Oryzias latipes: one gene and its partners. The protein of the gene in region 6 binds, or shares a complex with, the protein of the main gene of each other region. Links are inferred from orthologs where the notes say so. Each region holds a gene or a part of one and is shown on either strand. Other genes may lie near its edges. The genes, in order: taf11, taf5, tbp, taf12, taf8 and taf6.

The links.
Region 1: taf6 (region 6) and taf11 share a complex: the UniProt entries of both Homo sapiens proteins name them as parts of the TFIID basal transcription factor complex. The link is inferred for Oryzias latipes from reciprocal best matches to the Homo sapiens genes TAF6 and TAF11.
Region 2: taf6 (region 6) and taf5 share a complex: the UniProt entries of both Homo sapiens proteins name them as parts of the TFIID basal transcription factor complex. The link is inferred for Oryzias latipes from reciprocal best matches to the Homo sapiens genes TAF6 and TAF5.
Region 3: taf6 (region 6) and tbp share a complex: the UniProt entries of both Homo sapiens proteins name them as parts of the TFIID basal transcription factor complex. The link is inferred for Oryzias latipes from reciprocal best matches to the Homo sapiens genes TAF6 and TBP.
Region 4: taf6 (region 6) and taf12 share a complex: the UniProt entries of both Homo sapiens proteins name them as parts of the TFIID basal transcription factor complex. The link is inferred for Oryzias latipes from reciprocal best matches to the Homo sapiens genes TAF6 and TAF12.
Region 5: taf6 (region 6) and taf8 share a complex: the UniProt entries of both Homo sapiens proteins name them as parts of the TFIID basal transcription factor complex. The link is inferred for Oryzias latipes from reciprocal best matches to the Homo sapiens genes TAF6 and TAF8.

The regions. Positions count from the first base shown.
Region 1 is NC_019865.2:19,680,915-19,686,097, reverse strand, and holds taf11 (transcription initiation factor TFIID subunit 11), read right to left. Parts: upstream 3,257-5,183; 5' UTR 2,869-3,256; coding exon 2,695-2,868; intron 1,816-2,694; coding exon 1,685-1,815; intron 1,589-1,684; coding exon 1,501-1,588; intron 1,418-1,500; coding exon 1,321-1,417; intron 1,221-1,320; coding exon 1,090-1,220; 3' UTR 942-1,089; downstream 1-941. Other genes in the region: anks1a (ankyrin repeat and SAM domain-containing protein 1A), read left to right, coding at 4,511-4,680. UniProt on the Homo sapiens protein: The TFIID basal transcription factor complex plays a major role in the initiation of RNA polymerase II (Pol II)-dependent transcription.
Region 2 is NC_019859.2:29,660,751-29,665,951, reverse strand, and holds the start of taf5 (transcription initiation factor TFIID subunit 5), read right to left. Parts: upstream 3,189-5,201; 5' UTR 3,045-3,188; coding exon 2,633-3,044; intron 1,720-2,632; coding exon 1,488-1,719; intron 1,413-1,487; coding exon 1,097-1,412; intron 1,021-1,096; coding exon 857-1,020; intron 350-856; coding exon 214-349; intron 138-213; coding exon 17-137; intron 1-16. UniProt on the Homo sapiens protein: The TFIID basal transcription factor complex plays a major role in the initiation of RNA polymerase II (Pol II)-dependent transcription.
Region 3 is NC_019861.2:24,481,923-24,485,928, forward strand, and holds the start of tbp (TATA-box-binding protein), read right to left. Parts: upstream 2,801-4,006; 5' UTR 2,698-2,800; intron 2,312-2,697; 5' UTR 2,137-2,311; coding exon 2,086-2,136; intron 1,662-2,085; coding exon 1,496-1,661; intron 1,377-1,495; coding exon 1,199-1,376; intron 965-1,198; coding exon 877-964; intron 654-876; coding exon 562-653; intron 1-561. Other genes in the region: psmc3 (26S protease regulatory subunit 6A), read left to right, coding at 2,856-3,800, 3,973-4,006. UniProt on the Homo sapiens protein: The TFIID basal transcription factor complex plays a major role in the initiation of RNA polymerase II (Pol II)-dependent transcription.
Region 4 is NC_019874.2:22,542,038-22,547,126, reverse strand, and holds taf12 (transcription initiation factor TFIID subunit 12), read right to left. Parts: upstream 3,202-5,089; 5' UTR 3,048-3,201; intron 2,533-3,047; 5' UTR 2,404-2,532; coding exon 2,326-2,403; intron 1,786-2,325; coding exon 1,708-1,785; intron 1,482-1,707; coding exon 1,367-1,481; intron 1,254-1,366; coding exon 1,165-1,253; intron 1,057-1,164; coding exon 1,021-1,056; 3' UTR 706-1,020; downstream 1-705. Other genes in the region: uncharacterized protein LOC101164588, read left to right, coding at 4,877-4,928. UniProt on the Homo sapiens protein: The TFIID basal transcription factor complex plays a major role in the initiation of RNA polymerase II (Pol II)-dependent transcription.
Region 5 is NC_019865.2:25,322,200-25,327,355, forward strand, and holds the start of taf8 (transcription initiation factor TFIID subunit 8), read left to right. Parts: upstream 1-1,683; 5' UTR 1,684-1,823; coding exon 1,824-1,871; intron 1,872-4,481; coding exon 4,482-4,641; intron 4,642-4,890; coding exon 4,891-4,989; intron 4,990-5,058; coding exon 5,059-5,121; intron 5,122-5,156. UniProt on the Homo sapiens protein: The TFIID basal transcription factor complex plays a major role in the initiation of RNA polymerase II (Pol II)-dependent transcription.
Region 6 is NC_019872.2:15,547,630-15,552,752, forward strand, and holds the start of taf6 (transcription initiation factor TFIID subunit 6), read left to right. Parts: upstream 1-1,780; 5' UTR 1,781-1,983; intron 1,984-3,507; 5' UTR 3,508-3,509; coding exon 3,510-3,665; intron 3,666-3,736; coding exon 3,737-3,823; intron 3,824-3,921; coding exon 3,922-4,075; intron 4,076-4,172; coding exon 4,173-4,229; intron 4,230-4,319; coding exon 4,320-4,439; intron 4,440-4,545; coding exon 4,546-4,667; intron 4,668-4,796; coding exon 4,797-4,874; intron 4,875-4,979; coding exon 4,980-5,081; intron 5,082-5,123. Other genes in the region: mrps31 (28S ribosomal protein S31, mitochondrial), read right to left, coding at 1-58, 236-652, 1,387-1,484. UniProt on the Homo sapiens protein: The TFIID basal transcription factor complex plays a major role in the initiation of RNA polymerase II (Pol II)-dependent transcription.

The DNA of each region.
Region 1 (5,183 bases), on a different chromosome or scaffold from region 6:
TGGATTCAACATGTAGCTGTAAAGTTTTCCTCTTCACTGTCGGGCCTCAGTGTTAAGTAGCATCTCTCTTCCTCTGATCGACTGGTGCTTTTGGTTTAGACCCATAGCATGTTACACTAAAGGGGTTTGGTTTTGTTTTTTGCACTCCAGGAGGGCCTCCTCCTCCTCCTCTTCCTCCTCCTCCTGCAGCCTAACCCACCCTTCTGTGCCATGCAAGGAGGAGGTGAACAGTGACTCAATGCAAGGTGGTGTTTCCTCCATCAAACTGCACATGCATATACTGAGGTGTTTGTACTGTGTGAGTGCAATTCACTGGAAACTGCACTTGTTTGAAAATCAGATGACTCAGATGTTGTACACAGTATTTTTGTCAGCTGGTTTAAAAAAGAAAAAGAAAATAATCACATTGACTTTTCTATGGGTAGAATCACTTCCATTGAGACTAAACTTTAACTGGTTCTGTGAACCAAAATCAGTGTGCTGTAAAGATTTTAAGTGTAAAAAAATAAACTGTTGAACACAGTTTGATGTTGCTGTGTTTTTTTCTTTCCAGTAGAAAAGATTTGCTGTTCACCGAGTGAGTTTATACCAAAGAGGTAGTCAATGTTTCTGTGAGCACTTAAGTAATATCACATTGAAGACGTTTTATGTTCCAAAATAACAAAGCCAAACGTTTGATTTTCTCAAAATTGGGAAAGAGTTGATGAGCAAGGAAGAAACTTCCTTTTCAGACGGGGACTGAACCCAGATTTGACCGTAAACACAAGACCTAAAAAATATGACCAATTCAACAACAAAGTAAATGCTATAAGATCCTTTCATAATATCAAACCTTTTATAAACATGAACCTCTAATACACTAAGAAAACGTCTGAAATATCAATTTTGCTTATGTCCACATAGGATTTTTTTTTAAAATTAAAACCCAAATCGTACCAAAAAAAATTTGAGAGTAAAATCTTTATTTACACAAAAAAACTAGTCCTTGGAAAAAGAATGTCCGCCTGCCTCTGTGGCTGGAGTTTGACAAGAGGCTCTTGAGGCTGTTTTAATCACCTGCATCCTCATTTAACCCACAGGTCAACGGTCTCAGTGAAACAGAATGTGCTTATACTTTGTGTTGGGAATCTGATCTCTGCTCTTCAGCCTTCGGACGGCCTCCCTCATGTGCTTGGGCTGAAGCGGAGGCGTGTCCCCCCACTTCTCACAAACATCAAGCGCTGTGAATCGAAAAACAAAAGACGCAAAAATGTTAAGCTTCCAGGAAAATGGATAGAAGCTGCATAATACTAGAAACTATTTGTTGCCTTAAACACTCACCTTCCTCGACAATTTCTCCAGCAAAAACCTTGGCAATACCAGACATTGCTATGACCACATTCTGGGAAACTGACGATCCTGTGATTGACTGGATCAGCTGGAGGTCGACCAAAAAAGCCACAAGAATGACAGAAGAACGTTTTTGGGAGGAAAAAGAATTAGTTTTTGTAGACAGCTCACCCTCTTGATGGCCGCCTTGGGGAAGGCAGAGCGTCTGTACATTTCATAGCGATTTAGTTGCTCTTCAGAAAAAGAAGACACCAAAACTCTAAAAGAATCCAGGAAGAACAAGAAACGGGGTGAAATTAATAAAGATGACAGCACCATGGAATATTTCAGGAAAAAATAAAAACGGCAGTCTTACTGCATCTTTTGTATTTCATCTTCGTCAACTTTCTGCCTTTTCTCCTTTTTCTTATCCGGCTCCACCTTTAGCCTTTTTGCAGGAGGCTGACCGGAGGTTCCCTCTTCTTCATCATCTCCAGGTGCAGCTTCCTTTTCAGAAAAAAAACCCATCATGATTAAAGTCTTCTTACACTTTAATGGATTTCCCTTCCTAAATTTTTAGTACTTCTTCCCATTTTTAATGTTGTGTTTGTTCAATGCACAATTATTTAGAATACAATGTGAGGATGTAAGTGAAGCTCGTTACATGTAAGTTTGCTACACTCTAACATACCCAACAAAAGAAGACTTGGATTTAAAAAAAGCAATGGTAGACCAATGTGATCAAGTATGAAGGGTTTATTTTTCAACCAAATTTAGTCAATCAAAAGTTATTTTATAATTAAAAAATGAACTGCATGTCAAAGCTAAGAAAGAGTCAGTTTTATTTTGTATATACAATAAAAATAATACATAAGTTAAATACTTCCTCAATGAAAATATTTTGCTTGAACATTGTTAATAAATACTCAGGATTTTGTACATTTTTCTTCAGGCTTATCTAGTTATTTACCTTGGGTCCCAATTTAATTGTCTTGGAAATCAATGTTCAACCCCTTGAAGCCCATTAATTCAAATATGCATCAAACATATTTGACTCCAAAATTACTATAATGTTCTAAATGAAAATAAAGACATATTGTACCAAGTTCTTTTTCTCTGCACAAAACCAAAACACGAGTATCATATTTAAACAACCATTAATATTGTGGATTGTTTATTACATCAGTTTCCCCCCAATTTTTGATAACAGATTTGGTCCAGAATTGGTTGTATGTCTATGTCAAACTTCCATAGATCTATGCATTAGACTGTAACTTTCTCCTCAATTGTACTGCTAACAACCTAAATAATTCTCCACTCATCTAGATTTTGCTTAGATTTTTTTTCTTCCACAAAGGATTTTTGAACACAGTCATTTCTACTCACATGTTTCACCTCCCTTGTGGATGGATCTTGTGCGGACAACTCTTTCTTTTCGTCTGCAGATTCTTTTGCGATGGCTTCATTTTTTATGTTCGTCTCTTTACACGGCTCCCCTTTGGATGCTGCTGCCTTCTCAGACTTGTCTTCTGCCGGCTTTATCCGTGCAGGGTCTGCCATAACCTAAGTTTCTAAACAGCAGTCTGCAAACACCAACGAAGAAGCTATTACGAGACTTTAGTTTCAGCTGTGTAGCCGGCGTATTTGAATAAATTCTGGATGAAAACTGCGTATCTCATGCACGTTCCTCTACAGCTAGCTAGAGACGTCAACAACAAAGCCCTTTGCCGCAACACTAGCAGCTAATAGTTAGCTGTTATAGTGCACTAATGTAGTCTACGGTCCTTAAACGACACACACCGGTAATTATGTCAAAAAGAAAAAAGGTCTACATAAACAATGGATAAATAACTATAAGTACTACATAGAAAGGCAAAAAACTAAAGAAGATAAGCTAGCTTTCCTGGTAAACATCTACCATCGAATAATAGCCTAAAAAAACCCAAGTGCTTCCGTTTCCGTTTTGAATAAACTTTATTAACAAGGCGTTAAATGTTTCTTTTTTTATGTCAAAATGTGTTGAAGTTAGTACTGTCCATGAAAAATGTGTCAAATTGCTCTCTCTCTCTCTCTCTCTCTCTCTCTCTCTCTCTCTCTCTCTCTCTCTCTCTCTCTCTCTATATATATATATATGTATAAACTCAACACAAAATAGAAGAAAATTGCAAAAACGAAACCAAACTAGAATATTTTAAGACCAATAGAACATACAAAACATTGTTTTTTTACGCCACCTTGTCACGGTTAAAAAAAAACAAACTCTGTGCTAAAGTTACGCAGGAAATACAACAACAAATATTGTCAAGAAAATAATACTTACAATTATTACATTTTACATAATTGTAGCTGTTCATTTATCATTTACAATGCAACCTCTAACATAGTTTATCTTACTCGTGTGTCCCTGTAATTTTTTTTAACTCCACAAAATATTGCAATACATTAAAATAACAATGTGACAGGAAACATGATGTTTTTGATTTTGTATGGTCAGCTGAAAAAATAGTGAAGTGTTAAAAAAATTTTCTTTTTTAATAAATAGACATTTTCCAAAAATGTAAAGTAGTGAAAAGGTCGTATTTTCATTTGAACAAAAAATATTAGGTTACATATTTGTCTATTTCATTTAAATGTATTCATATATACACATTGCTATTTCTTTTCATTGAAAAGTAAGCGATTTGCACACTATCCGGTTAGAAAATTAGCTCTCGATTTTCAAACCAACTGGGGTAACGGAACAATAAAACAATCTCCAATGTCCTCATAGAATCCTGCCAAGCGCCATGTTGCTTTTCCCCGTCCATATGTTTTATTAATCTGCGAAGGGCGGCGGTGGTAGGGAATCTGAGTGTGTCTGACTGAAGAGCTTTGGATTGGAGATGCAGAAAGAAAGGGCAGTTTCAAGGAAGTGACGGACGACGCTTGGAGGACTGGTCAGAGGAAGTTTGCTCGGTGGTTGGTGCCGTGCTGCTGACTGAAACTTTTGCCCGTTGAGCGCCAGCAGCACCGGGGAGAGGGACAGAAGGAGCCGCTGGTTGGAGGGAGCTTTTGTTCCCTGCCGCATAGTAGCTCTCAGGAATAACTTGAGGTTGGGAGAAGAAGAAGAGGGTCACAGAGGAATTTTACTACAAGCAACCCCCCTCCTTCTCCTCCCCGCACCTCCTGTTTTTTTTTTTTCTCCCCCCGTCTGGTAGCAGCAATGGGGAAAGAGCAGGAGCTTCTGGATGCGGCGCGTACGGGAAACCTGGCGGCGGTGGAGAAGCTTTTGTCCGGGAAGCGACAAACCGCTGGCGGATTGTCCGGGACCGGTGGAAGCGCCAACAGCGGCGGCCACGGTGCCTCCTCTCACCCGCTCTCCAGCCTGCTCAGGTACGCAGCGGGGAACCGAGAGACGGCATTGTCTCTTCTTGCCTAGCCAAACATTAACGGCGAGGATGTTATTCATATATTTTTTGGATTAGTCAACCAAAAGCAGCGCGGTACGTAGCAGCTTCTTTGTTAGCTCAGACTCAGCTCTGGTATTTTTCTGCCAGTTTCTGTTGGCACGTGCACGCGCAGCTTTTATTTATGTAAGTTATCTTTAAAAAGCTGGAACAAAAACACACCACATCTCTTTGGAAGAAAAAAAACCGGTTTCATGTGTCAGAGATTCATAGATTCTGCTGGACCTGCTTTGTGGTGGCTGAAAAACTCAAAGGAGGAAAAAAAAACCCACATTTTTTTTTCTTTTTCTATTGGGAGTACTTTATCCACAACCCAAAGGAAACCCCACACTGTGTCCAGGTGTGTCAACGGAAGCCGGAAGGGTTTGATCTTCGGCTATGGTCACAGGGGGAAGACATCAATGAGGTGTAAACATTTTGTTTGTGGTG
Region 2 (5,201 bases), on a different chromosome or scaffold from region 6:
TGCGCCCAACACCCACCTGCTGCAGACTTGACCTTGCGCAGCTTTTTTGGCGTCACACTCCACACCCGAACCGTGGAGTCGGCAAAGCCTCCTGCTATCAGGCTGGAGTCGTCCGTGAAGTCCACCGCGGTCAGACCCTGAACAAGTCCAACGGAGTCTAAAGCTCAACGAGAACCGGCAGCCGTCAGACAACGGCCGGTGGGCGCCGCTTACCTGGTACGCGTTGAGGAAGGTGTAGAAGCAGATGGAGGGCAGGTTCTCCCGTCCCAGACGGATTCTTTTTGTGGATTCCTTCATGTACATGATTTTGTCCAGCTTGTCAGAGTCCTTCAGTTCTGGCAGAGGTATCCTGACCATGAAAAGTTGATTACTCAAGACTTTCAAAGGAAATGACTGCAAGAAAACTCTGGAAATCTAATAAGCACAAACGGATGTTTCAGAAATGTTTTCGGTTTAGGAGCTGTGACATCGTCCAGCCAGGACACGTGCACATGTGACAGACTGTCTACAGGGGAAACTCTGCAGGTGAACCAAACAAGCCCTCAGAGCTCAAAAGCCCCGCTTTCACTGATGTTTTCAGACTTTCTAAGCTCTGTCCTGTAACACCTGCCATTCAGACGGATTCCCGCCTCAACAGCAGCTTATTTGCCCCACCGTGAGCAGTAAGAGGGGGACGGAGCTGACGGGGCTTTTCTAGAAACTAAAGCCATCCAAACACAAACCAGAATAATCCAGAAGCAGATGAAACGTCCTGGGAAACGTTAAAGCTGCTCTCCCACAGAAAGAGGAAGAGCCTGCCTGTGGCGGAAGCTCCTGAAGATGCAGAAGCTCTGCTCTGCTGACCGCAGAACCTCACCTGTTCTGCAACGGAGCGTTGGGATCTTGCTTCTTGCTCTTGGAACCCATGCTGTCCTTCTTTGGCTTCTTCTTCTTCGGCTTGCCCTCTTCGTTCTCCGCCTCTTCATCTTCATCATCCAGGGGCACTTCAATCTCTGGTTCTTTCAGCAGCCCATAATAAACCTGCAGCCAGAACAGATGGCATTGTTCTCACGGGATTACAGAGGAACGTGCTAAATCTGTCGGGAACTTCCCTCACCTTGGCTTTGTTGGCCTCCCGCTTGGCCTCTCCTGCTAAGCTGCCTGACATGGCGTCTATCTGGCTCTTGCTGCGGGGCATGCCGTCGAAGATGTCGATGTACAGGTGCTCCTGGATGATGTTCCAGATCTGATTGTTCTGGCGCTCCTGCAGGTGCCTCTTCAGCAGCTGGTAGGAGTCACGGGAGATGCGCAGGACGAACTTGCTGGTGCGGAAGTCCAGCAGCGTCTCGTTGCCTCTCATGTGCTCTTTCTTGGTGAGGCTGGATAAAACCCGGAGGTCGTCTTCGTAGTAGCACTCCTGATCCCCGCTGAACCTGCGGACGAGGCCGTGACGAGAAGGCGCGCGGAGCAGGGCGTACTTTTTTAACGTAAACCTTAAAGGGACTTACTTTTCAAAGAAGGCCTTGGCTTCACTCTCATGATTGTTGTACACCAGCTCCAGGTACATGTGGACAAAGAGCGGGTAGAAGACCTGCGACAGCTCTGCCCGGTGGCAGTCCAACACCGACTCGATGAACTTCTTCAGGTCGCTGTAGTAAACTTTGTAGAGAGCCGGGTCTCCCTGCTGGCTGTAGGCTGACAGCACCACACTGACGTCGGGCTGATCGTCTGCGACTGCTGCTGAGAGAATCCAGAGGTGATGAACCCCCACCGCGAAGCAGCCCAGAAAGACTCACAGACCCTTCAACTATGGACCTGTTGCTGGATCTGCAGCTTACCTGGTTTCAACGGTAAAGCCAGGATGAACTCATCTAAACTGGGATTGAAATTGAAGGTGATGTCTAAGAATCAAACCCGTTTACCTGATAGCAACTCTGACATATTTCAGGAAAACGATCACCTGGTTTACAGTCCATTCTCAGGGTTTGTTGACATCATGTGTGCATAAAGACTTCAGGTTTTCTGGAATCTAATGAATCCCATCTATAGTCTCAAAGTTGGAGCTCTTCAATCTGCTAAATCTGCTTTTGCCATCTTCATTTATTTATCATTAAATAACAATGAGGCTTTGTCCTGTCTTCTGAGTAGCCACATCTCTGAATGTAAAAAACAGACAAAATCAAATGTGTGAAAATGCTGGAAGTTGTCAGATGACTGAGAAGTGTGAACCTTGTTAAAGCACTTCATCACAGGATATTCTGCTGTGTGTGTGATCCTGATCACCTCAATTGATCTGATTATTTGTGTGCAACACTAAACTGTATCAGGTCAGCTGTAGACCAAAACGAACAGTGACAGACACAAATATTTGTATAAAGTATTTAGACTTATTTATATTTATTACTTAAAAAGATTCATGGTTTTAGTTTGTGTTCTTGTTAATTTGGATTCTCAGTTTGACCACCTCTCTGCTTCCCCGGGACGTATGTTGCGATCAAGTTTTGTCCACATTTGTTTGTCAGTGTGTGTAATTTACGTTCTTTTTGCAGCTTCTAAACGTGTCTTTTCGATTCTTTTACAACTGTTGCGCGCGCTTTATGAGGAGCGAACAAAGTTCCGGTGGACGGGCTGAGTCCCGCTTGGAGCGTCATACCTTTGGTCGGCGCCGGAGTTCCAGCGGAGGAAGACACGGCCACCCGGCTGAGCAGAGAGCCCGCATCCAGGCCGTCCACGCCGCCAGCGGTGCCGCCCGAGCTGGGCGCACTGCAGTCCGCCCCCTTTGTGTCCAGCGCATCCTCGGGCAGTCCCGCCTCACGCCGCAGAATTTCAACGGACTCCGTCAGCTTGTTCTTTCTCAGGAACTGTAGAACCGCCAGCAGCGTCTGCTGGTCCTCCGGCGCCCCAGCCGCACTTTTGGTGCTCCCAGCCGAGCTGCTGGAGCTCGGGGACGGAGAGAGCTGTCGCCCGTCGGTCGCATTTGTGTTCATGAGCCCGTCGCTCTGCGGTTCGGTTTTTATGTCGACTTCTTCTTTCTCGTCGACCATTCCACCCTGCACGGCCGCCATTTTCAGAATGAAGTGCGCATGTGCGAGGTTGAAAAACGAGAAGAACTGACTGCGCAAGATAAGCAAATCTGATTGGTTCTCAGAGTGACATGTGTGTGAGAAGCCCGGCCCCCTCCTGGACGGCTCGTGCGGTTCCGGGTTTTTTTTTTGTCTTGTTTTTTTTTTTTTAAATAAACCTTTATTGACATTTTATCATTCAAACTGTGTCTATGATTTAGAAAAAAATCAAAACAATTTTTAAGGCCAAAATTGATAGAACTGTATATGATAAAAACTTGAGCAAATTTTTTTCTTCAAGACTACATTTTTTTAAGAAATACACAAAATGATACATCCATACAAGGAAACAAAATAAAATAAAATAGTGGTCTAGTTAGAAGTAATACATTTGAGGTCCTAAACGTTTTAATAATTTCCTACTTTTGTGCTCATGAGATCATCAGATGACACAGCCTTTGTTGAGCTGATATTACAATGTTGTTAATATTTTTTATTAAAATGGGTAAATTCCTCTGATCAAACTAGTTTTTTTTGTCTCTGTGATTGAAATTAACTTTAAATAATTATATAAAAGATTAAAGAATAAACAAACAAAAAAAAACGAATCAAAGCGAAAACATGAAAATCAAAGAAAGAAACAAATGGGGTAAAAAAGCAATCAAAGCAAAACTATTAAGATCCCAGGAAAAGTAAAAAAGAGAAAAAAGCGTTCAGATTAAGAACAAAAAGATCAACTGAAAATTTTAATCTAAGCAAGAATATAAAGATCAAAAGGGAAATTCAATCGGAAAAGATGGATCAAAGCAAAAACATAGAGCTCAAAGAGAGTCAACGGTTAAAAAAGCAATCAAAGCAAAACTAAACTAAACAGCTATCAAAGAAAAAACACAAAGATAAACGAAAAAAATACAAAAGGGATCAAAGTAAAAGCATAAAGATCAACAGAGAAAGATCAACGGATAATTCAAAGGGAAAAAAGCAATCAGAGCACAAACATAAAGAACAGAAAAACCAAAGAGAAGAAAGCAACAAGAGCATAAACAAAATAGTCAAATGAAAAGAGGGATAAAAGTGAAAACATAAAGATCAAATAAAAGTCAGAGGGAAATAAGCGATCAGAGCAAAAACCTTAAAATAAACGAAAAACTCAAAGGAAAAATGGGCATGTCTTCTTATCTGGGGATTTAATGCAAATAGCACTTTATGGGGGGGGAAGGTGACAGATGCTAATGGTGAGGTACTGGAGGACATGATGGATGATTTATACTTGGTCTGTCTCATTGATTGGGGAGGGACAAGGATAGATGAACAAACAGGGAACATGTCAGCACTAGATCTCACTTGTGTTTGGAATGTATTGGCAGGGTGTTGTTAGTGGGCTTTACATGACAGCACATGGGGAGTGACCATTATCCTCTTTTCTCTAGGGTTGGTGGGGATAGAGAACCATCAATTAATGAAAGGGAAGGCAGGTGGCTTTTTCATAAAGCAAATTGGGGTGTGAATTTACTCATATATGTGAGGAGGAACACTCAAACATCAGTATGGACAATATTTCTATAGAATTTGAAAGAAAAAGTGGAAAATGTAATAATTGCAGCAGCAAAACGGACAATTCTAAAGAGCAAAGCTACTATGACAAGGAGAAATATACCATGGTGAACTGAAGATTGCAAGACGGCAGTTAAAAATCGAAATAAGGGTTTGAAACTCTTAAGACAGACGCACACCTATGAGAACCTGTTGAACTACAAGAGACTTTGGACGCAAGTGAGAAGAGATATTAAAAAGGTGAAAAGAGAGTATTGGAGTTTTTTTTGTGAAATAATTGGTTGAACTACACCGGTTAGTGCAGTTTGGGGAATTATTAGAAAAATGAAGGGATAAGTAGGGAGTAACAATACCCAGTATTAAAGATGGGTAATGACTTGGCAATAATGAATGCGGACAAAGCTGAAATATTGGCTAAAACCTTTGTGAGAAGTCAAAGTAAGGAGAATTTATCTAGATACAGGAGAGAGAGGAGAGATGAAAATAGGGAACGACACAACAATGATGTTGATGGTAACACGTATTTGACAGCTATGGATGCTCTGTTCACATATTTTGAACTGGATCTAGCACTACATAAATCAAGAATAACACTACCAGGAAGGG
Region 3 (4,006 bases), on a different chromosome or scaffold from region 6:
TTTTATTTTTTTCTCAATAAATTCAGTAAACCCAATAAAGTATATCCATTTCATGCATGACAACTATTTTTTATTAGGAAGCACCTCTTAGTTTGTTGCGGGTCTGGAATCATAAGCGGTGAGTCTAAGCCCCGCCCCCGTCTCTCTACATGTTCCTCTGCAACTCCAAGTTGTTTTCCCCCGCCTACAGCCCCCCCCCTCAGCGTGTTCTACACAGACAGCGCAACATACGGTCATCATACCAGCAAGTTGACAGGATGTAGGGGCGCCCTAACGCAAATGTAATTAATTTTACGCAGAAATGGGTTGTTTTAGTCTAGGAAAACCACATAGAGCCATAAAGCTGCAGCACAGGGATGAAAGAGCCGCATGCGGCTCCGGAGCCCCAGGTTGCCGACCCCTGGACTAAGTCATTCATTAATATCAATGGGCAAGTCTGTCTAAATTTTTGACTGCTGGATTTATCATTAGAAATAATTTGACATCAAATTTGACATCAAATAGTACATTTTGCAAAACATTTTAAATCATATAAAGCTAAAAAACAAGTCCCACTCTTACCTTTTGGCTCCAGTGCAGACCATCTTCCCAGAGCTGAAGATGAGAGCTGTAGTTCTTGGTTCTCGTATTCTCATAATGACTGCAGCAAAACGCTGGAAGGTGGCATAGTAACGGCAACATTACAATGTTTTTCCCACTTCAGTTGTAGAGCTTTCTAACTTTACAAACGTAGCCGTATTTTGGAAATATAAGGCCTGTTTTGTTTAAGGTTTAGACGGATGATGGCCCAAAGTAAATAAATTCATTTGCCTTACTTGCTTACAAATCAAAGCTAACAGTTAAAAAAACATGAAAAGATGATCAGTTTGGGATTACCTTTGGGTTGTATTCAGCATTCCTGGCTCTTAAGGCAATAGTCTTCAGGTCCAATTTACAACCCAGATTTACAGTAGAAACTATGTTTCTAGTGGCAAAAAAAACAAATGGGACAACGTTATTTTAATAAAAACATTGCATTTAGTTGTGTAAAAAAACATTTAGAACAATAAAACATTTAAAACGAATTTTCTTTAAATGTATCCATTTTTAAAATAAATTCAATTTCCTTTTTCATGTATAACCCAAAAAGTTAAATTTGTAAATGGGTATGCAGTATTAGTCAATGTTCTCATCTCTCTGTGAATCGTATGCAACGTACTGTAGCTGTGGTACGATGCCAGAGCTCTCTGAGGCAGGTGTTGCTGGAGCGATGGGGGTCATAGGCGTCACCGGAGCGCTGTAGAGCGGGGTGTTCCCCGGTAGCGCAGTGGTAGTTGAACCTGGTACTGGCTGAGAATGAAAGAGCTGTGGAGTCTGTCCTGATGCTCCTGGAAGACCTATGAGACAATACCAATTATCTTTTCTTAGTAAAAAAACACAAATCCAGTAAATTAAATACATTTTTAGATTCACCTCAACATAAGAGAAAAGAATATGAATAAAAAGTTTGTTTTACCTGTGTTCAACTGCTGTGTTTGTTGCTGCTGCTGTTGTTGTTGCTGTTGCCTCTGCTGCTCCTCCAGTATGGACAAACTGTTTGTGTTTTGTACTGGCTGGGGCGTGAGGCCCGAGCCGTACGGCATCATGGGACTGAACACTGGCATGGTTGGGGTCATCACACCCTGCATAATACAATACCACCACGTTGTTAAATTAGAAGAAAGTTTTTTTTTTTTTTAAAAGCTCAGTATTTACAGTAATGCAAAATATGACCTGCAGTATGACTTTCTGAAGCAACCGGAAATCATGCTCTGATTAAATGTAATCGTAGATACAATACAGAAATACAAAATAAAAGAATCATGATTTCCTTAATGAAATTTATATTTCAGTCATAAATATCTTGAAAATAAATATATCAAATTTAAATAAAAGTAACTCATATTCAAAACTAACCAAAACATATGTAATAAGTTGAAATTGAGAACTTATCAATATTTTTCTCAATATTTTGTGATGACCCGATCATGTAATTAGAAATATTATATTTGTGAAATGTTTGTTTTATGAAAACCATTTTGAAGAAACCAAAGCGGAGATTAATACCGGAGGTGAAGCCAGGCCTTGAAAGGCTTGGATGCTGTTGTTTTGGTCCATGTTTTGTGCTTCTCCCGTTCCAACACTGCCAACCACTATTAGGCAGTTGTCCAATCCACTTTCGCAGCAGGTGCCTTGAATTGAGAGGGCTCTATGTACGTAGAAAAAGACCACTAGAATAAAAATAGACTTCACAATCTCCCCTGTTTTTTTCCACAATGCTGAGTCCAGAACGCTGAAAAACAGAAGATGTGTGTGTGTGTACACAGAAGAGAAGTTAGCAAAACTAGAACAGAAATAAGAGCGCGAACATAAAAGAAACATAATATTCTGAGTCACGAGGTCTGCAGTTACCGTGAACCTCATTGTGTGGCCTTTCAAATGCTTTTTTTTAAATCATTAATTCTTGTCTATAGACGATCAGTTCTCTCGTAGCACATCTGACAGCCTTCAAATTAAACACACCGGCTAGCTGAAGTTAGCTGCATAGCTAAAGTAAGCTAGCATACACATAGGGATACAAACCCTTTTCTGTGGCGTAAAGCGTTTGCCGCGTTAAAAAAAGTTGAAAACTAAACTATATGTGTTGAAAGAAAAGCCTGTTAATGAAAGGCAACTTACTGGTATCGTTTTGGAGCTGAAGTGACCACAAAAACAAGATAATGCGAGCTTAGCTTGTTTTATCTAACGCTCAGTCTGGGAAGAAAATGCTTGGCTCCTTCCGGAAGAAGAAGCTTTAACTTCCGGCGTGTCACAGCGCGCAGTCAGACAGAGCAAAGATGGCGTCGCTGAGTGACAAATCAGTTTGGGACGAGGTGGAAGATGGAATCGGAGAAGAAGTGTTAAAAATGTCCACAGAGGAGATAGTCCAGCGCACTCGTCTCCTCGACAGCGAGATAAAGATCATGAAGAGCGAAGTGCTTCGGGTGACTCATGAGCTCCAGGCCATGAAGGATAAAATCAAAGAAAACACGGAGAAGATAAAGGTGAACAAAACTCTGCCGTACTTGGTTTCGAACGTGATTGAGCTGCTGGATGTGGATCCCAACGACCAAGAGGAAGATGGGGCAAATGTGGATTTGGATTCCCAGAGAAAAGGAAAGTGCGCTGTCATTAAAACCTCCACCCGGCAGACATACTTCCTGCCGGTGATCGGGCTGGTGGACGCCGAGAAGCTGAAACCTGGAGATCTTGTTGGGGTCAACAAAGACTCCTACCTGATCCTGGAGACCCTGCCCACAGAGTACGACTCCAGAGTTAAAGCCATGGAGGTGGATGAGCGTCCCACTGAGCAGTACAGCGACATAGGCGGCCTTGATAAGCAGATCCAGGAGCTGGTGGAGGCTATAGTCTTGCCTATGAACCACAAGGAGAAGTTTGAGAACCTGGGCATCCAGCCACCCAAAGGGGTTCTCATGTACGGCCCACCTGGTACAGGAAAAACCCTCCTGGCCAGGGCCTGTGCTGCTCAGACCAAAGCTACCTTCCTAAAGCTGGCAGGTCCGCAGTTGGTACAGATGTTCATTGGAGATGGCGCCAAGCTGGTCAGAGATGCCTTCGCTTTGGCTAAAGAGAAAGCTCCGTCCATCATCTTCATCGATGAACTGGATGCTATTGGAACGAAGAGGTTCGACAGCGAGAAGGCTGGAGATCGAGAGGTGCAGAGGACCATGCTGGAGCTGCTCAACCAGCTGGACGGTTTTCAGCCCAACATGCAGGTCAAGGTAAAGATGCTTTCCATGTAAACATTTGTGTAAAACTAATTGTAATTAGTTACAGCATTATATTCTTTAATCTTTTAAAATGGTTGCTAAATTTTACATTTAAACTTTAGCATGCACTCTAATAATGTTGTGCTCCAGGTCTGACCACAGTGCTCTTGTAAATCCTTCATAGGTGATTGCTGCCACCAACAGAGTGGACATCCTGG
Region 4 (5,089 bases), on a different chromosome or scaffold from region 6:
TTTGGGGTCTAGATGACCCAATTCCCAATGTTAAAGTGCCTAGGATAGCACAAAAGTAAAGGCTCATGAGTATTTGACATGGTCTAACAATAATTTCATTCTTGCTCTTTAGACTTAAATAGAAACCTTTCTTGTCAAGTATTAGGAAAAACGTTTTGAAAACTACTGGATTCTATGATAATTTTACTTAAAATTTCAATAAATATTTCATGCTTTCCCAACCTTTAATGTATTTTTGGCTAAATCTAACCGATCTGAATGTTCCTTAGTACCAGGCTGAGGAAAAAGGTTAACCATTTTATGTGTTTTTAATGTTGTGGCTTGTCATTTTTAAGTCTTTCACCCCTTGACGCCTGAATTTATTTCAAACTATTTTTTAAAAATTTCTTATGGTTTTGCTTTCATGTCGGTGCTAAATTAAAGTCGTCAAGGAGATTAAAAATACAGCTTATTAGTTAAAACATTAGGGACGCCATGCACTTAAGTTCATTTGTTATTTTTTAACACCACGGGTAAATTTATTTTGGCAACAATGCGCCGTTTACTGCTAAACTTTTTGTATAAACAGTAAAAAAAATTCAAAGCACACTTTGTTACACTTGCAAAATAGCTACGCCAAAGTCATTTTAGATGCGTTTCAGATTTGGCCAAGTGTACATCAATATGTTGAAAAGGATTTAAAAAAAAACTGAGGAGCAGCAATGGTCGCCATTCATAAGAATTCTTCCAGCAAGTGTTTATTGACAAGACTTACAATGAAATTCTACCAGTCTGTTTAGTGGGAAAAAAAAAAACACACACCAAAGTACTAACATTGTGCAATGACTCCACACACTCAAATTCAGGGAGACGTTACAATTGAGCGATATTTAATGTCAAAGACAGACGACCTCATCAAAACGCTTTCTACTGTCAATAAAATAAAATGACAAACTCAAGTGGAAATGAAAACAATTGCATAAAAGAAAAGTTAAAAATTTGAAAATATACAAATTGGGTTCAACCTAAGGGCTTGCCCTTTTATTTTTTAGTCGTCTTGCGGATCAGTGCCATTCTCTGAAAAAGAAACACATGGGGAGCATTAGACTCAAGAAAAGGGAACTAAAATTAACAATTACGGCAATAATATGACTTCACAAACAGAAAAATTACTCTATCGTTTACCTGTTTATGAGCTTCTGTGGTGCAAGCCTTCTTATACGGTCGAATTTCATCAGAGCCATAACCAGGAATCCACATGTTCCATTGACGCTCTAAAATACATAAAAACAACACAACAATAAGACAAAAATCCCTTAGTTTCCACTAAATATTTATCAAACAAAAAGTACAAAATAAAAGGGCATTTAGCCTGTAAAAAACATACCTAGATGTAACTGAACGTCTTTAACCTCCAACGTGTTTGATTTGCGATGGCGTGCCAGCTGACAGGCTGCTGTCACAACACTTTCTATGAAGTCATCTGCAATTTGTAGAAGCATCTGAGAAGAAAAAACATATGAAGGCCTCAAAGGAACTCAACAAAGTAAGATTTTACACACAAATAAAGATATGTTCTGATTTATGAATGTAACAAAAATCCATGTTTTCTACGTAACAGTTTGAAATGCTGGACGGACGTAAGCATTGAAAATATTAAATAAGGTATACAACAGGCATGTCTTTTAATAGTCTTTATAAGAGGTTACAATATTTTTTTAATCTGACCTCTTCAACATCCTCATCCAGTTGCTCATTTGGGTCAATTTCTCTCACCAGGTCCTGCAGTTTCTTCTTAGAGAGGACCTGAAGACAAGAGGAAAGAGAAAGTGTAACACTTACACATGTGAGTGTAAGGTTTGTGTTTCACAATTAAACAGTATCCCGAAGTAGCTGTTAGCTGCAGTCACACAATAGAAATATTTTCAGGTAAAAAAATAAAACAAAATACAAAGCATCAAATTCAAAAGCGTACATGGTAGTTGTTGCAAAAAAAAGACAAATAGATGAAACAGTTTTACATTAGATAAAATATAAACAATATCTCAAATAGAATACATTTCAAAAGTTATATATAAAAATATAAGGACATAAAAGTGGTTACAGTGATCCCTTGCTATAACGCGGTTTACTTTTCACGGTTTCGCTACTTCACGGATTTGCATCGTGCATTGTGTTCTTCATTCAAAAAAATGAATGAATGAATGAATGAATGAATTCATTGTAAGAAAAAACAAAGGTTTCTACTTCACGGATTTTGCCTATCACGGGTTCTTTTTGGAACGTAACCCCCGCGAAAAACAAGGGTTTACTGTATACTAAATACAAAACTGAAAAATACTCAACCTGAGATCCTTCTGGGCTGCTTCTACCTGCAGGACCAGCAGGCAGGCTCTTCACTATTATTGGGGTGCTATTGGCCATTCTCAGTGATCAAGGTCAAGGAGGAAGCGCAAAGCAGTTCTTTAAGTTACAAGACGCTGGTGGCCCGGGTAAGGCTCTCCCAAATCCTGCGTGGCAGTCGAAAGCACCGCTTTTTCAAGGAACCACAACCTTAAATTTGTAGAAAAACAGTACAAATTTCAGTGAAATTAGGAAAAAAAGATGATCCATTCCCAAAAACATTTCCCTCCCAATTTAGTTTACTTCGGTTAACTGCATGTAGCTTAAAGCAGCATTTAATAAGCCTAAAAACTAGCGTTTGCATCCAATACAAAATGCAAGTATGTTTTAATTAAACTAGTAAATCTGATGTCTGCTTCCCCTAATTATTTACTCCAAAACAGAGACCGGAAAACGCGCGCAGCAGAAAGCGCTTAGCTTAACGCTACACGATGTCTTAAGGGCTTTAGGCTAATTTAATAAAATACAACAAAGTAAGCAAATGCCATTATTACATAAATTCTTTAGTACACAGATAAGAATCCAACGTTAACAGATTTGTTAGTGCTAAAAACAATAGCAGCTACAAAGCTTTGAAGTTAGCCTTGCTAAATTCAGCAGCTAATTTCTCAGTTCGGCGTTCCTCAAACAAAATTCTAAGTCGTGGCAGCTTTTTATTGACTCACCTTTTTAAATTAACACTATCTGTCCATTTTCGTCATTACTTCGAGGGAAAGGTACGTCTTTGACACTAAATTTGTCTACGAACAGGCAACAACCGTTCCAGAATTCAGGGAGCAATATTCGGAACTTCCGCTTTTGCCCGATTCTGTTTCCGGTAGAACCGTGTCCACGCTACGCTGCCCCCTGTCGGACTGTGTGTGGCACTTCAATAACACGTGAACAAAATCGGCCTCTGTGGAGAAGCACGGAAAATAAAATATATAAATACAATAAACGAGAACGCTTGTTTTTTAGATGGCCTGTCATTCAGTTGCTTTATAAAAGATTGTGGGTTATTTTTTAAGTTTTTGATAGGAAACATAATAAATATTAAGGGTGTTACGATTCATTTTAAAAAACGATTTGATCTGTATCATAATTTGTGGTTGCTAATAGGATTCAAAGTTGATATCGGTTCATTTTGAAACATCCAATTTCATCCAATTCACTGACCTAAAATTGAGCAAAAAAAAACAGCCAGTGTGACTCGGTACTGAACAGATTCCTTGTTGTATTTCTTGCAAGATAATCAAATGTAAATTAAATATGTGCACAAACAAACAAACAAACAAACAAACAAACAAACAAACAAACAAACAAACAAACAAACAAACAAACAAACACGTAAACAACAATTAATAGTAAATCTACAGTCAAAATTTAGTTTCATAAAGTTCAGCCCACGTCTGTTTTTCCACATCAAAATAAAATAATCTGAACAATATTAGAACATTCTACCATTCTACTATGGTCACAAAATTCTTTGCAAAAAATGAAAAATGTTTCAAAGCATTGGACTGTAATGACGGCTCGATCATTTTTTGCTGCCATTACATGTGTGTTGTCTGTTGTCTATGACTATTAGAAACAATTTGATAAAGGTAGATGTCAATTCGTTTACCAATTTGCTTTAGACAGATCGATCTGGTTGAATCACAGGAAAACAAATCGATTAATCTAGATTGGTCTGGTTGCCAATATTTATGATTTTCTTTACGTCTCAATACTCTGTATACTTTCACATCTCAGTGTTTATTTTCACGCCATGCTGTTGTTTTATTGGAAATATATTTTTAAACAAACTTTTTTATAATGCAAGATGATGTAGCATACGCCATCGTAGGCATTGTCTTTGTTAGATGTAAACGAGTTTTCCCTTTTCTTTTTTTCCCTTTTTCATTTTAATATAACTGAAGGTCTTAATTAAAAAAAAAACAACTAAGATTACACTAAAAACAATTTTTTTTATCCCCCGTGAGCAGTGAAATAAAATAAAGCGTGAAATGTTGGCTTGATAGGTTTTCCACATCGCACCAAAAAGTGTGAGAAACATCGTTAACACATTTTTTTCATGATGGCTCTTATGAGGAAGGAAAGAAAAAAAAACACACCCGCAAAGCTCAGGTTAAAACAGAAGTGGTTTGGTTCCCTGAGCGACGCGTGACGCGCAGAGAGCAGTCGTGATTATTGGAGCAGAGAGTGGACAGCTGCGTTTCTGGTTCACACAGTCATTTCCCATGTCAACATCCATCAGCAAAACTCTGTCATTAAATCTAAAAACAACGATAACGCTTATAAAAAATAAAAAAAAACAAAAACAAATCTTACTTCTTTCTTTTCATTTTTAAAGTGAAATTGACAGAAAAGTTTGGGGGCTTTTGGACACCAAACGAAAGCCACACCTACAGCGCGTCAGATAAAAACGCAGGACGCTTTCATTTCACTTTAGTCGCTGCTTGAAGACTTCTCGACGTTTTCTCAAGTATTTAAGTTAGTCTTTCTTTCTGCAACAATGAGATCTTTTCTTCTTGCTGCAGTTGTTGCCCTGATCCACAGCAGTCATGGTAAATATGTTTTTTGTACATATGTGATAGTCTTAAAATAACTTTTTCTTAGATTTATTTATCCTAAACAATTATTTTTGTAAAAGCATTGATCATAATTCTGCCACATGTATGTTTTGTATTTACAGTATTCTTTAGTGTGAGTTAATTTCTTATAATTT
Region 5 (5,156 bases), on a different chromosome or scaffold from region 6:
GTGTTTACATTCAAATAAAAAAAATTGCACAGCCTAGAAGTGATGTACACATGTTGGATTTCTGAATCACGGTTTGTCCTAATGCCATATTTGGACCAAACTGATGTAAAAATTATGCACATTTTCTGAGATATTCTAACATTTTCAATTGCCCTATATTTCCACTCTAAAAAAATTCCATAGGCGCATTGGGAACATTGTGGATTATTACAAGTCATAAACACATCCAGCATGAGTCATGGGTTCTGGCACGTTGTTATATGTTTATTGGATCTGTTGGGCAACAAATGATGTCACATACTCACTATAAGGAAAAAAACTGTCTCACTCCTTGTCCCACAAACTCCTGCACTTTAACCCAAAACAAGTGGTAATCTATAAAAAACAGAACAGTACACTCATGAATATGCATGAGTGTCCTCCACTGTGGGGGTTGGCTTCTTTCTGCTGTCCTTAAATTGAGATGTCTGCCCAAGTGTACAATGATTGTCCTCAATACACAGAGAAAAGTGAACTCTTTGGCATCCCCTTTAAGGTGAGCCCTGGCAAAAAAAGGACTTTGATTCCATATGAAGTTAAAAAACTGACCAAAATGTTCCTTTTTCTTTCTGCAGAGCCATCATGGAAAACAGTGGAGACATTGTACCATTTATGAAGGAGGTTCTGAAGGAGGGGCCCAGCAGGAACATGGTGAAGATCTACGCGCTGGGCTCTGCTCTGACCCTGCTGGGAATGGTCGGCGGAATGGTGGAAATGATTCTCCTGCCCTTTTCTGGGGACAGCCCTGCTGATGGCAAACAGACTGCTGAGCTTTTCATGGACAAGAAGAGAAGGGAGAGGCTGCTGCTGAAATCCCACCATGTCCAGATCCCCACTGAAGCTGAGGACATACTGAGCGTGGTGGTGCCTGAGGTCAAGCCCAAACATCTGGGCATGGTCACAAGGAGAAGCTCGGCCACTCGCCTGCATGCTTCCTAAAAAGACTTTCTCACTTTAACGGAAATGGACAATGGCAGACCTTTTTATTTTTATGAATTTCTAATTTATTTTAGTTTTGGTAAAAATGTTTTCTGCCCCTTTTTTTAACAGAATGTCAGATGTGGTGATACACTAAAAACTGCAGGACACAGTGACCTCAGGCTGCTGGGCAGCAGATTCTAATATGGATCAAATACCATGGGAAGGAAAGGGGAATTGTGCAATTCAATTTATTGTGTGTTTTAATAAAAATGGTGTTGTGCTAACCACTGGTACTCAGATTATAGGAAAATAGTGTCTACTTAAAGAGGCACATTTGCTGCTCCTGCACTGAAAAATCGTGAGAAATTGAACAAAACTTTTTTCTTTTAGTCTTGCTTTGATGGCATCAAGTATTTGGTGATTGAGGTACTTAATAGATGTCTGTGCAACAAGCCTGAATTAAAATGGGTTTTTTAATTGAAAATCACAATATTTTCTCTCTTTATTTTTTCAATTTTTTGGAAAAAAATATAACATTTATTCAGGATAACTTAACACTTTCAAAAAAAAAGTCAGATATTTGAATGCATTTTATGTTGTTTTTGTCATGAAGCCGTTTCTTTTCTTCCATCTGCCAGTGGATAAAAATGACAATGTAAACAATCGCAGTACTGTAGACGGACGTTAGGGGGCAGTGTCGGCTAAACTCAAGACATTCACAATCGTTTCCGTCTGAATGACGGAAGTGTCGTCATACATGGACAACTTATTTACTAGCGGTGGCTTATCGTGTCTAAGCGAATAAATCTGTTTAATTTAAAAAATTCACACCTAAAAAGGAGACATTTTTGAAGTTATTTCCAATGGCAGATCCCGCCGTGACGCCGGGAGGCGCGTTAAACTCCAGCGGGGTAAGAAAAGCGTTTGTGTTTGTCGTAAATGCTGCAGGTTTGCATCGGAAAGCTTGCTAGCAGCCACATCTGGATGCGGAAAGGTTTCATCGTTGATTTTGGGTTAAATGGCAACAAGTACGATTATACTCCACTTTGTTTTGAACGACTAGCTGAGCTAGCTTTAGTGTTTTTGTGCAACATGCTCTGTAAATGATTCTCTTCATGTTGAGACTATTGTTTCGGACGGAGTATATCTATGCTAACTAAGCCGACTATTCTTGATGATGAGGTTTTTAGTTTTCTGAACCTCCTGAAGGTTGCAACTCTCTTTAATACCTCCGAGCCCTCCTGGACTCTTTAGTACTGCCCTAACAGCAATTCAAAATATAAATTCACCCTTATTTATAGAGCGCTTTTCCTGCTACAGAACACCTCGATGTGCTTTATACAAAGAAAAAAATGTATAATGGTAATCATTAACATAAATTGCATGGTGGCGCAGTGGTTAGGACTCTTGCGCCCTGGTTCAAGTCCCGGCTGTGGGAACCTGAAACAGAACGGGACCTTTCTGCTTGGAGTTCGCATGTTCTCCCCGTCCATGAGTGGGTTTTCTCCGGGGACTCCAGCTTCCTCCTGGCGACCTGTGCAGGATGTTCCCTACCTTCGCCAACGAGTGGCCGGGATGGGCTCTGTAGCCCCGTGACTCCGAAAGGGTCTTAACGGGTTTAGAAGATGAAATGAAATTAGCATTAACATAATAAATATTGATTAACACATACACAATCTACAAGTCTCCAAAATAAAAAATAAAATATGAGGAAATGTACCAAACTCCTTGGAAAGCTACACAGATAAGTTTTGAGTTCTGTCTTAAGCCTCTACATTGGATGAAGCCCTCACATCCACAGTGCTGAAATGTGGCCTCGCTTTCTGTTCTGACCTTTGGGACCATCAGCAGACCTGCACCTAAGGTCTCTGAGAGGGTCATCAACTAAAAGCAGTTCTGATTAAAACTGAAGTTCCATTTTTTTATTAGCATGAGACTTGTAGAAACTAACAAAAGAACCTTAAAATGGATCTTTATGCTCCCTGGGAGCCAGTGCAAGATTTCAACATTTCAGTAATGTGCTCCTTCTTTCTGACTCTGCTTAAGAGGTGCACAGTTGAGTTTAGAACAAGCTGCAGCCAATAAAGATAAAGATAATCTATTTTAGATGTTAAAAAAGTGTGGATTCATATTTCAGTGCTGGCTTTGGAGAGAAAGGGTCTCACTCAGACAATATTTCTAAGATGAAAAAATGCAGTCTGCATCAAAAATCCCACCAAGATTTCTGAGTTTATAAGTAATGGGTTTATAAGGAAAAATGGACCCTCTCTTCTCAGCTTCAGGGCCAAGATTTAAGAAATGTCTGTTTTGTCTGTATTGAGCTTTAAGAAAGTTCTCTCCAATCCAAGTTTCAACATCTAAAAAACAACTTAAAAGGTCATCAGTGGGTCCCAAGTCATCAAGTGTCTCCTGATGACATCACCAAGTTGAAGCATGTACAGGTTAAAAAGTGTAGAACCAAGGACGGAGCCTTGTGGCATCCCACATGTCAGTCTGTGTTATGACGCATCATTTACATCAACATTAAAATCTCTTCCTGTGAAATGAAATTCAAAACGTCTGGAGACCGTTTCAGTGATAACATCTGCATAAGTATTTCTTAGGAACTGTAAACACAAGCAGCTGCTGCAGATTTTTTTCATTGTTGTGTTTATGATAAACGAACAAGTTTTACTTTAGATTTGAGCTGCTGTTTTGTAGACACTACAGAGGAAGGAAACTGACACGTCACACAGTGAAGATATGTGCAGGGCGCTGAAAGCTAGGCTGAAAGGAACATTGGTGAGCAACAGTATGGTTTCATGCAAAGGCTGAGAACCACAGATCCAACATTTGCTTTTAGGACGCTTCTGGAGAGGAACAGAGAAGGTCAGAAGGAGCTGCATTGTGTCTTTGTAGATCTAGAGAAAATGTATGACAGAAAACAGAGAAAGGAGCTGCGGTCTGGATGAGGAGTCTGGAGGAACAGAAGAACGTTGGAATTATGCAGGATATGGATGAGAGCTGGAAGACGTTGGTAAAAAATGTTCTGTAGGCACGACAGAGGAGTTCAAGGTGGAGGTGGGACTGCACCAGGGATCATCTTCGAGCACCCTCTTGTTTCCATGGTGATGGACAGTCTTGACGGATGAGGTTGGACAGGAATCTGTGTGGATCATGATGTTTGCAGATGACATTATGATCTATAGTGAGAGGTAGCAGGCGGAGGTTTCCTCTGGAAATGAGATGAATGAAGGAGCGGAATTCGAGTGGAACAGGGAGTAAAGGTGGAGGACTTTAAGTTCTTTGGGTCAAACAGTCCAGATCAACAGAGAGTGTGGGAAGGAAACGAAGAGCTCCCTCTTCATCTCTTCCCCTTGGAACCTCCCATTCCAAGGAGGTTAAGACAGGTGAAGGAAGGTTTCAGGTGTGACAAGATTGTTAGCAAGAACGAAAGGAAAGGTGTATAAGTCTGTGTTATGATCGAATAGATATCTTTGTCTTGCATCTAAATAGTCTGCATACTTTTTTTTTTCTTTTAGCGAGGGTCTGGAGCCAAAGCAGCTTCAAGCCCTGCAGAGAACTACCACCTGGCCCGGCGCCGCACCCTGCAGGTCGTGGTCAGCGCCCTGCTGACTGAGAGCGGCTTTGACAGCGCTGAAAAGGCGGCGGTGGAGACGCTCACAGAGATGATGCAGAGCTGTATGTAACAGTCCTGAACTGGAACGTTTAAAGCCAAAGAAAAATCGGTTCCATTTGATTCCTTCATTTCTGTACTTTTATCATGAATTTTCCCTTTAGAATGTTTTAAGGTGACTTTTGTATTTTTGTCACAAACTGATTTTAAATGTGACTCAGTTAGGCCTTTACTGTTGACTATTCATATACATTAAAAATGTTCTCCTGATGAGTCACTGCTTTATTAAGTAAAAAATGAGGATTTTTTTCTAGACATCACAGAGATCGGTCGGTGTGCCAAGGCCTACTGTGAGCACACAGCCAGAAGCGTCCCCACCCTGTCAGACGCGGTGCTGACTCTCATTGAAATGGGTAAGATGACGGGCTGCTCTCCCTCACCCCTGTTAGAGCCGCCATTGACGGAGCTTCAATCGTTTTCAGGTTTCAATGTGGACACGCTGCCGGTTTACGCCAAACGGTCGCAGAGGATGGTCATAACTGCTCGTAAGTAGATGCGCCTTTCATCGGCTCTAGAGGTT
Region 6 (5,123 bases):
GGGAAGAGTGGCGGCGGCGGCAGATGCTGCAGCCACCAAGTCAGGGCTCAGAGTTTCACTAAAACAAATATATATAAACATTAACAAGTTCAGAAATCTTTTACATCACATGATCTTAATTTGGAATATTGACCAACAGAGTCTTTTGTAAGCAGGGACAAAAGTAAAATAAGTATCAGGTAAAAAGTAATAAGTATAAGTAACCAATGGAAATGGCTTTTGACTCTTCTCGTACCTCTGTGATGACGCCTCCTCTGTAGCCTTTTGAAACATACTGATGGTGCTTTCCATATCTGCTGGCTTGGACTTATACTGTGCAGCTGACTCAATACTTTGCTGTCTCTTCATAGTTTTAAGCTTTCTTTTATTGGTCACTTCTACTTTCATGGCTCCAAGTAGGTCCAGGAGGTTTTCTTTCTCACTCTTTCCTGTATCCACTTTAGGCTGTTGTGATTTTGCCAGAAGCTGTTTAGAGTTATCATCTGCCTGACGGTCTGCGGTCCCTCTGTCTTCAGTCTTTAACACGCGTTGCTCCTCCTTCTGTTCCGGCAGTTTCGTTTGGCTATCTATAGATGTGCCAGCATTGTCTTTTTTTTCACACAATCTGACTGAATTTGTGCAGAAAGTCTTCAATCCAACTTTGTTTAAGGTTCTGTAGAAATATAAATACCAAAGTGCAGTTAATGCATCTTAAAATAGGAATGACAGGAATGCATAAAAAATCAAATATGATGGAATGTTAGCATACTTTTCTACTTTACATTAGAAATATTTGTTATGGTGAATCACTTCACACGTACAATCATAGCTATAAAGAACTCTTCTCCAACTTAAGGATGGGAAAAGGATTTGAGCTTATTGTGAAGCCACTTGTATCTCAGAAACATTGATATAATTTTGTCACCAGAAACAAAATTTTTCAAAAGTCAAATATGAGTTCAATGGTCTTTTGAAAATTGGTCTTTTGAAAATTGACAACAATTTGGGTTAGATCTAGGACTTGATACGGGGAGATTTGAAAAGCTGCAAGCTAAAAATAAGTCATTTTTGGACACTTATGACATGTGGGCTTTCGTTTGAAAAGATAATGTTTGGTTACAGTTCTAATTCAATTTTGGTTATTATAAATACAAAAAAGCACAGCATGTCGTTTAGCATTTAAATAAAGTAGTGGTTTTGAATTCAAACAAATTTAAGTCTAGAATTTCACACAGTCCGGCAAGTTAAAACACAAATGTCCTTCCGGGGATCGAAAAAGCCAAGAAATAAGAAGCAACATAATCAGTTTTTTAAGGGTCAAGATTTTCTTTTAACACAAGTATTACCACATTTGTTGTGGCTCAACGATATCATGCTATTATTATCGGGAGTACTCCTATTCCTCACCTGAAAACATTATCACAGTTACTTGATAAAAAGGACTCGTGAACGTACAGTACACGATTTCGTGCCACAATCGTTGTCCGGGATATAAATTGGTTCATATTTGTTTCTTGAAATGTCCTTTCACGTTTGGAGCTTTCATCCGTGGTAACGAGAAAAAGTCACCCGGAAAACATTACTCCAAACACTAGTTCCGTATGAACGTTAATTCGAGCAAAAGCTATCTTGCTAGAAAATTTGATTTTCATAATTTTGCCATTTTAAGCTATGAGCGTCACATTAATTAAAATGTACAAATGTAAAACGTGTTTCAATAATAAGATACCTATTTTAAAATAACAAGTCTCCTGATTGTTGTGTCCACAACTCTCGCGATATTTCGTCCGCAACGTGACTCAAAATGGCGATGGAACATTAGCGCTAATTTACAGACGGATGGCTCTGCTTCAGCCAGGAAATAAGTTTTGTTATTTACATTGAGAAATGGGGATTTGCAAGGAAAAAACGGGGTTACGCTATTGTCAGTGTTGTAAATACTGATAGTGTTCATTTGTGGAAATCCTGGCCATAACTCAGAAGAGGAAGGACAACTTCTTACAGGTATAAACGTCAAAAAGAAGCTAAGTTGTTAGCATATAAGCTAACTTGCATTAAATTTAGCGCTCGTTTGTAAATGCACATCTTAAACAATGTGCAGCTGACAGTGATCCTAAAATTGGAAGAACTTTTATTTACTTTTAACTGCAATTGCGTTTAGGAAATCCCCCGTTTTAGTTCCGTCGGGGGGTTAACCCGCTCTCTGTGGAGGAGCGGTCTGTTTGTGTTTGTAATGTATGAAATCATTTTTATGAACCGATTATCATTTTAGCCGATTGGCCTTTTTCTTGTTGCTTTTTAGGTGAGAGATAACTCTTAACACGAATGAACCTTGTGAGACGGTACATAAGAATCGGGACATCTGTTTTATCCAAATAGTGAAGACCGCCTTTAGCTTACTCATTTGAACATCGAGTTCTTAGCAGCATTGATTGTTCAACGTCTGACACAAAAAAGTAACCGGACCTTCAAAACTACGTCTAAACGCATAGCTATTTGAGTATTTTTTACTTTTTCGTAGCCCGATTATATTTTTGGCTTTTGGCGCTAATGTCTGTGTTCTACTAGGGGATCATTGAGATCTTTGACAGCGTTAAAGATACAGTCACGGGAATAATAATAATGTGCTTCAATCATCATTGATTTTCGATGTCATTTCCAAAGAGTGTATTTCAAAGCACTTGAATTGACTATTTTTGAAATATTTCATCAGACAGGTCCCCCAATACATATTTTAGCAGTTTTGTTTACAGTGAGGCGTTTAAATTAAAAAGAAAATAATAGAAAGTAATAAACAACAAAACGTTCAAAAAGCGCAACTCATATTTGGCTAGAAAAAACAAAGATCACACATTTTAAGTGAAACTGCGTTTTAAAGATAATAGATATAGATGCTTATTATTGAAAAGCTTTAAATTAAAGCAATTACAACAAACAAAATAAAGACTTATTGAATTAATTGTAATAATTTCGGCAGATATGTTTATCAAAACGATTGATCCAGTTGTGGGGGGTTTTGGGGATTGAAAAAAAATGTTTTTTGGTCAAATATGTCTTGTTTTCTCTCAAGTGCCATCAAATACCACCGGGGTTCTCATAACCTTGCTAGAAAACTACTTTTCTACATACCATACTTGACACAGATATTCTCACTTCCTGCAGTCTTTCTTTCTTTTTTGGTTTCTTGTTTCACTGTAGGAAACTTTTATTACTGTGGTTTAACTTGCAGTTTATACAGTTCTTTGACTGTTAGCATGCTGGATGCTCACAACACTAGTCTTTCTAGGCTAAAGTAAAGGTGTGATGTTTTCATTAAATGAAGATAAGGTCCACGAACATATTTCCTTCTTTTTTCTTTTTCTTCGAGATATAAAATTTTTTTTTCCTAGTGTCTCATTTATAACAAATAATGCCGTAACAATAAGATGGAGAATGAAAAATATAATTTTAGACTTCTATAAGCTCCAGTTTGTGTCTGGTTTCAGTTTACAATGAAACTTTTTGTATGGCCCTGCTTTGTGTTGACAGCCATGGCGGAGGAGCGTCGGCAGAAGCAGTGCTCGGTCACCCTTCCCACCGAGTCCATGAAGGCCATGGCAGAGTCTGTTGGGGTGGGGCAGTTACAAGAGGAAAGCTGCGTCGCCCTGAGTGAGGAGGTCAGCTACAGAATCAAAGAAATCGCGCAGGTAAGAGCTCTGATGGTTTATGGAATATGTGAAGCCGCATACAATCCCTTATTCTGTCTCTTTTTGCACAGGATGCTTTGAAATTCATGCATCATGGGAAAAGACGTAAATTAACTACCAGTGATATAGATAATGCCCTCAAGCTGAAAAATGTGGAGGTAAGGTTTAAATATTTTGGAACACATCCATATTTATCAAGTTTTGGGAAACCCTGTTTGTTTTATATTCTGTGCTCTAATTAAAGTCTCTTTTATAGCCTCTGTATGGATTCCAGTCTCAGGAGTTCATTCCTTTTCGCTTTGCAAGTGGTGGAGGGAGAGAGCTTCACTTTTATGAAGAAAAGGAGGTCGACCTCAGTGACATTATTAACACACCCCTCCCCAGAGTTCCACTAGATGTCTCTCTCAAAGGTAGAGCGACCGTTACAACCTTTTAAAATCACAGTTTTTAATCTTTTAAACGATTTATCTGAAAGTTCATGGTTTGTTCTCTTTTGGAAACTCACAGCCCACTGGTTAAGTATTGAAGGAGTTCAACCCTCAATTCCAGAAAATCCCCCTCCAGGTTCGTCCTGTTCTAACCGTCTCCCCCAAAGGAAATTGAATGCTTTAAGGACAAAAATGACAACCTTTTATGTTGTTTACACTTTTTTAGCAACAAAAGAACAACAAAAGACAGAGTCCACGGAACCCCTTAAAGTGGTCAAACCAGGTCAGGAGGAGGAAGGGGCGATTCAAGGCAAAGGTCAGGGTGCAACAGCTCCTGACGGCAAAGGTCGGTATCAATTATTTCATTTTGTTCCAATTTTTCTTTTTGCTTCTCTTCACCAATAAGAAAGGGTTAATAATTTGGGTTATTCCTGTTTTAACGTGTGTTTCAGGAAAAGAGAAAGGTTCGATCAGGTTGAAACCACGCAGCACTCATGAGCTGTCTGTAGAACAGCAGCTGTACTACAAGGAGATCACAGAAGCCTGTGTTGGCTCCTGTGAGGCAAAGCGAGCAGTAAGTCCTGCAGATGTTGGTATAGATGTTTTATAGTAAAAGCAAAAAAGCTCCAATATTCCCCCATACTGGTAAAATGTTACCTCAGCTTGATGATTCATGGGACTTTTTCTTTATGTGTTCACACAGGAAGCTTTGCAGAGTATAGCCACTGATCCAGGACTGTATCAGATGCTTCCAAGATTCAGCACATTTATATCTGAAGGAGTGAGCGTGTTTCCAAACTCTCCCAGATTTCAATGTGTTTCTAAAGCACCAACTGTGTCATAACTTGGTACAAAGTCCTGACTCTGCTCTCTTTTCTCCTTAAAGGTTCGGGTTAATGTGGTGCAGAATAATTTGGCGCTTCTGATTTATCTCATGCGAATGGTCAAAGCTCTAATGGACAACCCCACTCTGTATTTGGAAAAATATGTAAGTGAAGAAAAGAAATCTACTTGTTATATTTAGAATGAT